2 linked regions of the Danio rerio genome follow. The protein of the gene in region 1 purifies or fractionates together with the protein of each later gene. This does not show direct contact. Links are inferred from orthologs where the notes say so. Each region holds a gene or a part of one and is shown on either strand. Other genes may lie near its edges.

Region 1 (6,147 bases):
CCATTATATAGATAATTTTTAGGGATGGAAACGAAAACAGTGGTCCCAACGTATTTCCTGTTTTACATTTTACTTTCTATAGATTCTGAGAATCCAAAAATGGTCCACATATTGATAAATAATTATATGATAGCTGTTTAAACATAAAGTTATGATTGAATTATCTCTTGTTACAGTTATGAAATAGTTTGATAACAAGCAGGAAATGTTCATGGGCCAATGACATGACAACATTGAAATGGTCTATATACAGTGGCACTAAACTCTTACACTTGTCTACCTGCTTATTTGAACGGCTATTCATAAGAAAAGGTCTCCACCTAGTGGATATGAAAGGTACAACTGCGAGATAATTCAGTTAAGTAGCCAGTAAAGCAGGGATGTCAAACTCAATTCCTGGAGGGCCACAGCCCTGCACAGTTTAGTTCCAACCCTGCACCAACACACTTACCTGTATTTTTGAAACAAGCCTAAAGGACTCAATTAGTTTGATCAGGTGTGTTTAATTGGGGTTGGGACTAAACTGTGCAGGGCTGCGGCCCTCCAGGAATTGAGTTTGACATCGCTGCAGTAGAGCATGTTCATGAGACGATTATGTGTGTGTGTTTGTAATACCTGCGTATTGCACTTTTCACAGAACTGCTTGATCTTTCCTGGTGTGATGTCATAATCTTCATAGCACTCTCTGCACTCATATAGAGCTAAACCTCCACAGATTCGACATTCTCTAGGGGCTAAAACAAACCTTCGTCAATTCCTTTAAATATAATGCACTTTTTTCTTATATTCTTCATCCCAACACAGATAAAATACATTATGTGTGTTTTTTTTTTTTTTTCAAAGCCTATTTAGTTACTGAAGTGACTCACTGTCGTCTAATAGATCTGTGATGTCAAGCTCCAGAGATGGGAAGATCTTATTAAACATTTTGAAGTCCTTCCCAAACCGAGGCATCTGAATGATAAGGCAAGAAGGGGCCTGGAGAGAAATAAACAGACCAGAACATGACATTTCCCCTTATTCACTCATTTATCACAGTGAACAACAATATTTAGATGCATCAATTCTCATTTGAATACATCTGTCTCTTATAAATATTAAGTGTTTAATGGGACTCATTCGTGAAACAGTAGTAAATATAGGAGTAGTCTGAGTGGTTTCTAGACCTTTTTAAAAAGTCCCTCCAGAATCTTAAAATACTTTCCCAAAACTAGATTTGATTGTTCATGTTCATGGATTGTAATGAATTCCCAACATTTATCAACAGCGAGAGTGCACTCTCATTCATAATCTCCTTCTAATTTAGAAATATGTAAATGATATGTCCAGGAACGCAGTGGAGTGTTCTGGACTCCCTTCTACGGTTTGACTCCAGCATATTTCATTAGTATTAGAAAGACTAATATGCCATAGGCCTAAAAATACAATTTCAAAACACTAAAGCGTTTTAGACAGTTTCAAAATGCCTGCTGCATTTCTACATATGGCCAGATGGCGGCGCTTGAGATTGCTCTGGTGGCACAGTGTTTTTCAGCTGAGATGCTTGGGTTGCTATGATTTGGAATCCACAGCAGTAAACTTTACTAATGTTTACTTTACAAACCATTTTGAAAAAAATTACTGCACAGGTCAAAAGATCAAATGAAATATAATGGAGTTGGGAAAAATAATAATGATAAAAAAGCAGCATGGGAGGAAGCACATGCATATTTCATTTGTAACAACTAACATTTAAAAATATTAACTTTCATGGATTTACACAAAAATTATTATGTTTCATGAATGAGGCCCATTGTGTTTATTTGGAGGAAATTCAACATTTAGGCCTATACTCTGGATGCTAATTCTACTACTACTACCATTATTATTCATTCAGGAATTGTACCTTAAAACGATTCAACAAACACATGAAACCTGACAAAAAGTAATACACAGTACAGTTTAAAAGTTTATTTTAAATAAATCCATATGCATTTATTTGATCAAAAAATATTATTTCAAAACATTAGTTTTACCGTATTTTTATAAATACATGCAAGTTTGATGTATGCCAATTTGTATTTAAAAAAAATATATATTTCTCCAACCCCAAACTACCAGTCTATATATGATTTTTTTAAATCTAAATGTTTCTATGTAACAACAAACTTGTATGGTTTGTAGACATGGGCCGGAATAAGATTCTGACAGTGATAACCTTGGATGAAAATATCACAGTTTTATAGTATTGTGATTACTGCTCTTAAATATATTCTTTTTAAATGTCTGGGTAAAAAAGTGAAACCTTTTCCCCCTTTGAAAGCAATATATTTTGTTTTGAGAAACATTCGAAATATTTTGTAGCAGTAAACAGGTCAGGCTGAATAAATTAACCATTGACTTCTGTTATCGTCATTGGTTTCAAAAACACTGATTTCTTTACAATTTAAAATGGCATCTTGGATCTCTTTTCTGATGGAGATACAGTTGTCCTAAAAAACAAAAAAAAAAAGTTTCAATAAGAAATCTTACACATACCTTAGGAACGGTATAGCAGAAAATGAAAACCTTGACTTTTTCAAACTGAGGTATACCTTGAAAACGGTTATAATCCCATGCCTAATGGTTTGTTCATGTTATCTTTTGTTTGTAAGGTTTGTAATGTTTAGTTTCAACATAAAAACAATAAAGATGACATTATTAAACAATAAAGCATGTAAAATGAAACCGGCCTCTCTGCTAATTGTATGGTTCACAAGGCTCCAGATGCACATGTACATATCATACCTCTGCAAATTTGAGATCACTGTTGATAAAAGACCACTCCAGAAGCTGCTGGCTGGTCGGCACCATCACTTTATCTTTCTTATCCATAAAGATTTGATAGAAGTAACAGTCCTGAACCTTCTGCCCTGCAGACCTGCAAAAGACACACAGCACTTTTCAATACCAACTTCATCATATCAGAAAAGGCAGATTTTTGCATGGATTTGAAGGACATGCCCACCGAAGTCTGAGAAGAGGATCAACTCTCAGGATGTGATGAAACAGGATGTTGAGGAACTCCTCTGGATCTAAAAAGAGAGTAAATGCCTCAGGTCAAACACATCACTCCACACAAAATATTGGATATAAAACATTCAGATAAATATTTGAACTCTGTCAATAAACCAAATCAAATAATCAATGCAAATCATGTCATAATAGACCACATAAATGATCACATTTACAAACAAAATGTTTGTTTCTCATTTTAATTTATAAGGTTGCAGGGGATCCATTAGTTTTCTTTAACTAGTACTTAATTAGTACTTGCATTCAAAGAAAGTAATTGATAGGAACAATGTACATTTTGTGATGAGTTCAGTAGGAGTAGGAGTAGCGTTAACAACATACACATTTTTTTACAGAAATTAACTGTCTGTAATTACATAGAGTATTTATTTAATAAGCACAAGGTAAAAAGACATAAATAATAATAAAAATGTATAATTATCATTTTATGGTGTACATGGTACTATTGTAACAACAAAAACCCTGTCAAGTACACTGTCACGATCCCGCATCCAGAGATCGCTGGTAAAAATTCACATGAACTACACACACCACATGAACTACAACGACCAGAATGCATTGCACCAATCAACACCTGCTCCAGCTGACCGTCATCCAGACACTCTCTCTCACACACACACACACACACACACACACATTCACACCTGCGGCTCATTTCCACTGATGAGCAGGACTATATATTTCAGTTTGTGTGCCCCTCTCATTGTCTGTTGTTTGAGTTACTTCCATGAGGTCTGTGTGTTCCTGCTTTGTTTTGCTTTGTTTTAGTTTGTCTTGTTTTGTCATAGGTTTTTCATTAAATGTTTAAATGCTGCTTTTGGATCAGCTCTTTGTTTTTTCCTCTGAACATTACAACGGATGGTCACATACACAAACATAAATAATATCACTCATTACCTGAATGTATAATTACACTGTAACAATGACACTGCAAAATAAAGGGTAAGCATTAAATGTATCACTCATTTAATTACTCATTTAAAGTCCTCAAGAAATCAAAACAAACCAGATGATTATGTTAGCTCACATTGCTAGTTTTTTATTTTTTATTTTTTGTTGAACAATTCATTTATGCATGTCATTAAGAAAAAAAATTGCCCTTCTAATCTATAATTGAAATGTAAAAATGCACTTCCTGTTTGTATTGTTAAATTGTCTGATTATGTATATCTTAGCAAATGGGCGTGGCTTAAATATTTAACCATGCCACTCCAACTCAGTTTTGACACCAAACAGAAATGGTGAGGAGTGGGAATCTGTTAGGTTGTAATAACTCTCCACAAACCCTTTTCCCCATCTTTCTAAAGGAAATGCCTACTATACAACATCCATTCAGCTTGCAGTAGAAAAAACAGGCCACGGCCACTGCTTGCTAATTTACTATTTTATTTCTTCAAAAACTGTGTCACAATATAAAAAAAAATAACGGTCACAGCTTCCAGTTCAAGGGGACTTCAAATGTTATTATAAAGTGATTTAGGATACACATCTAATATAAACTAGGTCTAAACTGAGAAAACCTGACTACCATAATTTATACGTCGAATAAAGTAAATGTTTTTGATCAACTTTAGCCTCAGCATCCTCTATAAAGTCTTTCATTTATGGCTTTATCTCTGACTTTGTGCTTGTGTACAGAAGGGAATGTTCTATGTCATAACAGTTTTATAAAAGCCCAGTGGACATCAAAGATTCCACCCATGTTTCAGTATGGCTGCACAATGTTCTCTAAAACAGCAGGATGCACACAAGATAAAAGATCATTAAAAGCTTTTATCAAGTACACAGAAAACACTTCACTCCCCAAAACGATTTGGCATCATCGTAAGAGTTTCTGAAAGAATAGCATGTTCTACAACATCAGTACGTGTCACAAGTCATCACATAACAACATTATGATAGGTCCGCTATTATTATTATTATTTATTTATTATTATTATTATTTATTCATTTTCTTTTCGGCTTAGTCCCTTAATTAATCTGGGGTCGCTACAGCGGAATGAACCACTACATTGTTATGTAAATATGTTTTACATATTACAGTATATATATATATATATAATTCAAGTCAAAATTATTATCCCCCTTTTGATTTTTTTCTTTTTTTTTAAATATTTCCCAAATTATGTTTAACAGAGCAATGAAATTTTCACAGTATGTCTGATGATATTTTTTCTTTTAGAGAAAGTCTTAATTGTTTTATTTCGGCTAGAATTATTAATTAAAAAAAAAAACATTTTTGGGACAAAATTATTAGCCCCTTTAAGCTAATTTTTTTTCCGATAATCTACAGAACAAACCATCGTTATACAATAACTGGCCTAATTACCCTAACCTGCCTAGTTCACCTTATTAACCTAGTTAAGCCTTTTAATGTCACTTTAACCTGTATAGAAGTGTCTTGAAAAATATCTAGTAAAACATTATTTACTGTCACAATGGAAAAGATAAAATAAATCAGTTATTAGAAATAAGGTTTTAAAACTATTAAGCTTAGAAATGTGCTGAAACAATCTTCCAAGAACAGAACAGAAATTGGGGGAAAAAATAAACAGGGGCGCTAATAATTCAGGGGGGCTAATAATTATGACTTCAACTATAGTGATGTTTGTCCAATTTATAAATTGTAACATCAAGTATCATATAATGTCTTGCTGCACCTCTAATAATTAAAGAACTTTTACCCAATTGCGTTGATTCTCATTATTATGAAGACCAAAGAATAAATAAAATAAAATAAAATAAAATAAAATAAAATAAAATAAAATGTACTACGTGAATCTAAAAATTAGGTATCACTTTATTTTAAAGTGACAGAGTAACAGATTTCCCATGCACTTACTATAGTAATTACTAGGTTAGAATCGAGTCTTTACACTTTACATTGTGTAAATGACAGATGTTCCTCTTAAAAGCATAAAAACCCAAATATATTGAAATTGTAAAGCAGGTGGCACTCAAATTACAATGAAGAGAGTTGTCATGTCTTTTTTTTTTTTTTTTGATGATAAAGTTCACAGTATGAACTAAAAAATGTAGCAGACTAATTACTATTACTACTAGAAATAATAATGTTAACAACAACAACAGAAA
Region 2 (6,137 bases), on another chromosome or scaffold:
ATAAAGGTGAGTCAGCACGTTAATTATTAGGTCTAAAAATTCTAATTATGAACATCTTGATATCCACTGAGCACACAAGGAAAGATGTTTATTTTTGGGTGAACTATCATTGGACAGAAACAGCTGTGTGGGAAGTTAAGGTTATAGTTGCAGTGGGAATGAACATTTTGTGTGGTTATTTATTAAGCACATTCTATTGGGGTTAAATAATTGCTTAAAGCAGGGGTCACCACACTCCATCCTGGAGGGCCAGGGTCTTGCATATGTATCTCCAATCCTAATTAAACACACCTAAACAAGCTAATCAAGATCTTCATAGGCACAATTCCAGGCAGGTGTGATGAGGCAAGTTGGAGCTTAACTCAAAATTACAAGCAAAAGCTGCACAATATAGCATCAAATCATTATTTTTTATTATTTAGTTGTTTTGTATCGACAAACATCCTAAGTTGGTAAAACTTGTGTGCGCGCGCGTACCCAAAAAGCGGTGGGAGTTGCACGCGCGACGCGACATACCTGAAGAGCGGTGGGGGTGAGCTGCGTGCAACGTACCTTAAGAATGGTGGGGGTGAGTTGCGCGAGACGTACCTTAAGAACGGTGGGGGTGAGTTGCGTGCGACGTACCTTAAGAATGGTGGGGGTGAGTTGCGCGTGACGTACCTTAAGAACGGTGGGGGTGAGTTGCGCGTGACGTATCTTAAGAACGGTGGGGGTGAGTTGCGCGAGACGTACCTTAAGAATGGTGGGGGTGAGTTGCGCGTGACGTACCTTAAGAACGGTGGGGGTGAGTTGCGCGTGACGTATCTTAAGAACGGTGGAGGTGAGTTGCGCGAGACGTACCTTAAGAACGGTGGGGGTGAGTAGCGCGAGACGTGCCTTAAGAACGGTGGGGGTGAGTTGCGCGAGACGTAACCTTAAGAACGGTGGGGGTGAGTTGCGCGAGACGTAACCTTAAGAACGGTGGGGGTGAGTTGCGCGAGACGTAACCTTAAGAACGGTGGGGGTGAGTTGCGCGAAACGTAACCTTAAGAACGGTGGGGGTGAGTTGCGCGAGACGTAACCTTAAGAACGGTTGGGGTGAGTTGCGCGAGACGTAACCTTAAGAACGGTGGGGGTGAGTTGCGCGAGACATAACCTTAAGAACGGTGAGGTTGAGCTGTGCGAGACGTACCTGAAGAGCTACTAGGGATGCGGTGGAGAGAGGGGTGTGTAACGTATTTAGGACCGGGCAGGAGACACTCGATTTCCGGGAGATTATCATTCATTTGCGGGCATTCAGGAGTGTCTATGCATTTCAGGGATACTCCCGCAACTTCCGGGAGACTTGGGATGTCTGCATTGACAATAGAAACAGATTGACACCATTGAAAATAATGGCAGCCCCCATAGTCCAAAATATGTATAAAATTATTTGGATTTTGTTAGCATAATGTCATGTTTTTATCTACTTATAAGGATACTTAAGGATAGTTTGTCCAAAACAGAACATTCGTCATCATTTACTTACTTTACTGTTTGAGTTTCTTTCTTCTGTTAAACACTAAAGAATATATTTGGAAGACGCCTGCAAAACTACTATGGAAATGAATATAGGTTTTCAGCTTTCTTTAAAATATCTTTAGTGTTTAACAGTAGAAAGGGAATCACTTGAGTGAGAGTAAATAGTAAAGTTTTATTTTTATATCTCTTTAACATCATTTACATTGTTAATGACTTGTCTTTCACACTTGCAGACCTTCACAGGGCCATACGTGTACCAGTTGCAGTCTGTGTTATGCGACTCCGACCTGCGATCTCTACTGCGTTCCATGGGCTATTCAAGAGAACAGGAATTGCAGTACAATGTTAGGGACCATCCAGGTGGAGCTTCTCACCTTCGGCAGCTTGCTTTTGAACTGCTTCTGGCTCAGGCAGAGTGCCGTCTGTTGGGCGAGGTGGTTTCCATGTCTCGTGGCTTTGCATCAGAGCTGGAGGCTGTGGAGTTGAGAAGAAACACCAGAGAAGATGCAGCGGGGTGTGCAGATGCCCTTCGTAGACGAGACAGCCTCACTGGAGATTTGTCCCGCCTGTCTGTGCGACCGCTAGATATTGATCGTGCCCACCTAAGGCGAAGCGGTCGCCCATCCAAGTCAGTGGATGTAACGGACAGCGCAGGACACTGGCACCAGGCCAGCAAGCCAGTGCTGAAGGCCTCACTCAGTCTGCGCAAGGAGCCGTTGTTTGTTGACACAGATGAAGACATGAAGGACGAAATCATCCGACCTAGCCCCTCGCTCTATCCAGTGGCAGCGCCACCTTCTTACAGTCCAGTGGCTGACTTCTTCCCAATTCAGTCGCCCCCGTCAGAGCCATACTCTTACCACTTGTCCTCCCTGGACGAGGTGGACCTGTACACCGAGCGGGGGTTGGGTGGCCACCAGACACCCTCTAGGCCACCGAGCCGGGAGCCTCGAGACAGTTGGGTTTTGAAAGGACACATGATGAAGTGCCAGGGCTGTGGCATGGGCTGCCCTTCGCTTTCCTCTTGCCAAAGGTGCGACATGATCTTGTGCTCCTCTTGTCATGCGGTGGACCCAGCACCTTGTTGCGGCTTCCAGGATTACACTAAAACCTCCCGCCCTCTGGATGGCTACATGCCCATCAAGGAAAAATTGTCTGTCTACTCCAGTGCCCACTCGCACACCCACCCTCATCCTCACCCACTTCCCCACGCTCAGTCCCATTCGCTGTTGCTGGACAAAGCTGTGATGAGCTCCAAGCTGTTTCCCAGTAAACCTGTGGGTTCGGGCCCCAGTCCGGTGGGCAGCTTGGTCAGCAGTGGCAGCAGCAGCAGTGGGGGTGAGCGGCTGAGTGTGGGCGGCTCCCGCTGTGGCTTCTGCAACAAGCCAGGTGCCTCTCACACCTGTGTGAACTGCTCCAAGGTTTCATGTGACACCTGCATGAGCCTCTACGCCAGTGATTTGTGCACTCGCAAAAATCCCCATCATAACTTTGTGCCCAATCATCAACTCAATTTCAAATCCAGCACCATATCTCACCTCGTATATCGATAGACCAGAAACACAGTTGTGCACTACACCTCTATTGCTTTTTTTTTTCTCTGCTTTTTTTTCCCACCCTTGATTTCTGTTTTATTTAAGTTGTCCTGCTTCCTTTCTCCGTTGGCTATTGTTTGGTTTTGGTCATGTGATCTTGCAGTGCATTTCCTGTCCCTCAGTTGACTGTTTATAACTGTATGACTGGAGAGATCCATCTCAGTATCAGTGTTTGTTAACTCGGATAAAAAAAAAAAAAAAACATGCAGCGCGTAGCAGAGACTTCACCCTGGAATTGAAACGAAAAAGTTGGAACTTCTCAAACTTGAACAAAAGGAAAAAAATTATGATAATAATAACCTTACACTGGACATAAATAGTATATATTTTGAATTGTGAAGCTATAGCTCTATATAAGACTATTGGTCTCATAGTGGGGGGAGGGGTTTCCCAGTTAAATGGGGTTTCAGTAGTGAATTTGTATCAGAACTTCTAGTTGCTGTCATGTCACTATATTGAGTCCTCCGACAAGAAATGCCTTGTGGGTTTACCCCTAAGAAGTCAGTCTATGCTGTTCAAAATGCTGCTGTTGAAAGTAAAACCAGGAGGGGGCGCTCTTGACTCATGAAACTCCCCTTGGCAAGGTTCATGCACACACTGTATGACAGGGGTGCGCAACCTTGTTCCTGAAAATCCACCTCCGAGTTTAGCTCCAACTGATCAAACACAACTTTAACCAACTAAGTATTAGAAGGAGCACTTGGTAATTAAAGCCATGTGCTTTTGATCAAGCTTCTAGCTGAACTCTGCAGCAAGGCAGATCTCCAGGAACAGGGTTGGGCACCTCTGCTGTTTGATTATGTCAGTATGTTTTTTTTTTAATCTGTCCAGTTTTCCTTTACATCTTTGTAACCTGTTATGATTTGAATTGGAGAATAATTTAATATTTTGTGTACTGTCATTAGAAAGTTATTTTTGTTAATTCATTGTACAATAAATTTATGGTGTGTACACATACCATGACAAACTAAAGTTTTACTACAGGGTGAATGTTATGAGGATTGTGTGGGTCATATTTTATTTTAGAATCCAGATTCTAGTTGCTGCAATGCAAAAATAGCGATACAGTATTAAGCGCCATTCGTAATCGTTCATAATGCTCCCATTAAGAAAAAGGTTTTACAGTACCAAATGTTATTACCACTTATTTATTGAATTATTTATTTATATTCTAAAGTAAAATGTGACTTGGACATATTTATTTTATTTTTTTTTTGAGAGAGAGAGAGAGAGAGAGAAATTCACCCTAATAATGAACTGTATAATCTTATAAAAATTGGCTTGTTTCTATTAATTTAACACTAATTTTATACATCATTTCATATATTTAATTTCCTCTTTTTCCATCTAGTCTGTCATCCTGGTTGCATATCTTTAATTTCAGAGACCTTTCGACCTGCTCTCCCTGCTGCCTTAGGTAAGCTTTTCCAGTCCCCTGAAGGCTGCGCTCAATGCAGGACTCCATGCTTAATGTCTGTACGCAGCATAAAGCGGTGGCCAAAAAAAAAAAAAACCTTGTCAGGGAAACAGAAACTAGCACAATACATGACTGCATGTTCTGACACAGTAACTTCAGTGTGTGTTTTTAATTTAGCGAGTGTTAGTGGATCTGGCCAGTCCTCTAGCTCTCCTTGCCTTTGTCTCTCTCAAACTCTGCAGGTTCCAGAACAAAATACTGCAGGAAAATGTGATTGGATTTCACTCGCGAGTGACAGCATGATAAACCAATCAAAACGTCTATGTGCCAAACGCCCACAGGCTGTGAAGAAAGAACCGAACTGCATATCCGCACGCTCACTGAGCCACCAACCTTGGGTAACAAACCAGTTCTGGTATTAATCTGTTTGTGTGTTGGTTTCACTGAACTGGTGGTGATTCCTCCTGGTGAAGTTCCTCAACACACACTGCTTTATTCATTCAGACATCAGCTGAGGTCAGATCTATCCTCAACGGAGGTGTGGTGGGGCGAAGGGACTGGGTGGGTCAGGGGTAAGGAGTTAGCCGAAATGTTTGTCAGTAAAAGTATAATCCTATAATTCTATAAATTAATGAAAAGCGATGATTTTATAAAATAATTTCAGAAATAAAATTCTACCAAAAAATGCGCTGCCTTTGGTGTTTGACTTTTGGGTCAAAAATCGTCAGAGATGACTTCACATTCAACAGTAATCAAGTGAAAGGAAAAAGTAAGTGTTAATCGGCTGGATGTACTCTTTAGTTTAAGTACTAATTCTTACTACCTGTTTACTATTAATATCAGGGGCGGATTGGGACAAAATTTAGCCCTGGCACTGTAGCCACACCAGCCCAGATTACCACACAGACACGCACATTCACTACTCAAATTGGTGTACAGATGGTGAAATAATTTAAACATTTAAATTTAATGAATTTAAAACATTTAATGTATATGACTTGAACAAAAACTACTCGTCATTCTCTGTCGCTCTATCTAAGGATTAAATAATTTATGCATGTATTTAATGTTTAAAGACTAGCAACAGTTAGAGAAAAAAAAAATTTCAACACATTTCTAAACATAATAGTTTTAATAACTCATCTCTAATAACTGATTTATTTTATCTTTGCCATGATGACAGTAAATAATATTTGACTAGACATTTTTAAAGACCCTTCTATACAGCTTAAAGTGACATTTAAAGGTTTAACTAGGTTAACTAGGCAGGTTAGGGTAATTAGGCAAGTTATTGTATAACAATGTTTTGTAGATTATCGAGAAAAAATTATAGCTTACAGGGGCTCATAATTTTGTCCCTAAAATGGTGTTTAAAAAATTATTAACTGCTTTTATTCTAGCCGAAAAAAAAAAGAAATAAAACTTTCTTCTGAAGAAAAAATATTATCAGTCATACTGTGAAAGTTTTCTTGCTCTGTTAAACATCATTTGGAAAATATTTTTAAAAAGAAGAAAAAAAATTGGTCACACTTTACATTAAGGTTCATTAGTTAATGTTAATTAATGCATTTACTAACATGAACAAACAATGAACAACACATTTACTAATGTATTTGTTCATGTTA

The links. Proteins that work in one complex are often made in the same cells at the same time.
Region 2: the proteins of cyld (region 1) and spata2 purify together in Homo sapiens (affinity purification with western blotting; 10 studies listed by BioGRID and IntAct, with this or other methods). This does not show direct contact. The link is inferred for Danio rerio from reciprocal best matches to the Homo sapiens genes CYLD and SPATA2.

Annotation. Positions count from the first base shown.
Region 1 is NC_133182.1:37,727,492-37,733,638, forward strand, and holds part of cyld (ubiquitin carboxyl-terminal hydrolase CYLD), read right to left. Parts: intron 3,054-6,147; coding exon 2,987-3,053; intron 2,900-2,986; coding exon 2,767-2,899; intron 2,472-2,766; coding exon of another isoform or gene 2,355-2,471; exon of another isoform or gene 1,936-2,354; intron 979-1,935; coding exon 870-978; intron 735-869; coding exon 616-734; coding exon of another isoform or gene 570-615; intron 413-569; coding exon of another isoform or gene 390-412; exon of another isoform or gene 1-389. UniProt on the Homo sapiens protein: Deubiquitinase that specifically cleaves 'Lys-63'- and linear 'Met-1'-linked polyubiquitin chains and is involved in NF-kappa-B activation and TNF-alpha-induced necroptosis.
Region 2 is NC_133198.1:3,531,988-3,538,124, forward strand, and holds the end of spata2 (spermatogenesis-associated protein 2), read left to right. Parts: coding exon 1-6; exon of another isoform or gene 7-960; intron 961-1,141; exon of another isoform or gene 1,142-1,709; coding exon of another isoform or gene 1,710-1,733; coding exon 1,734-3,053; 3' UTR 3,054-4,067; downstream 4,068-6,137.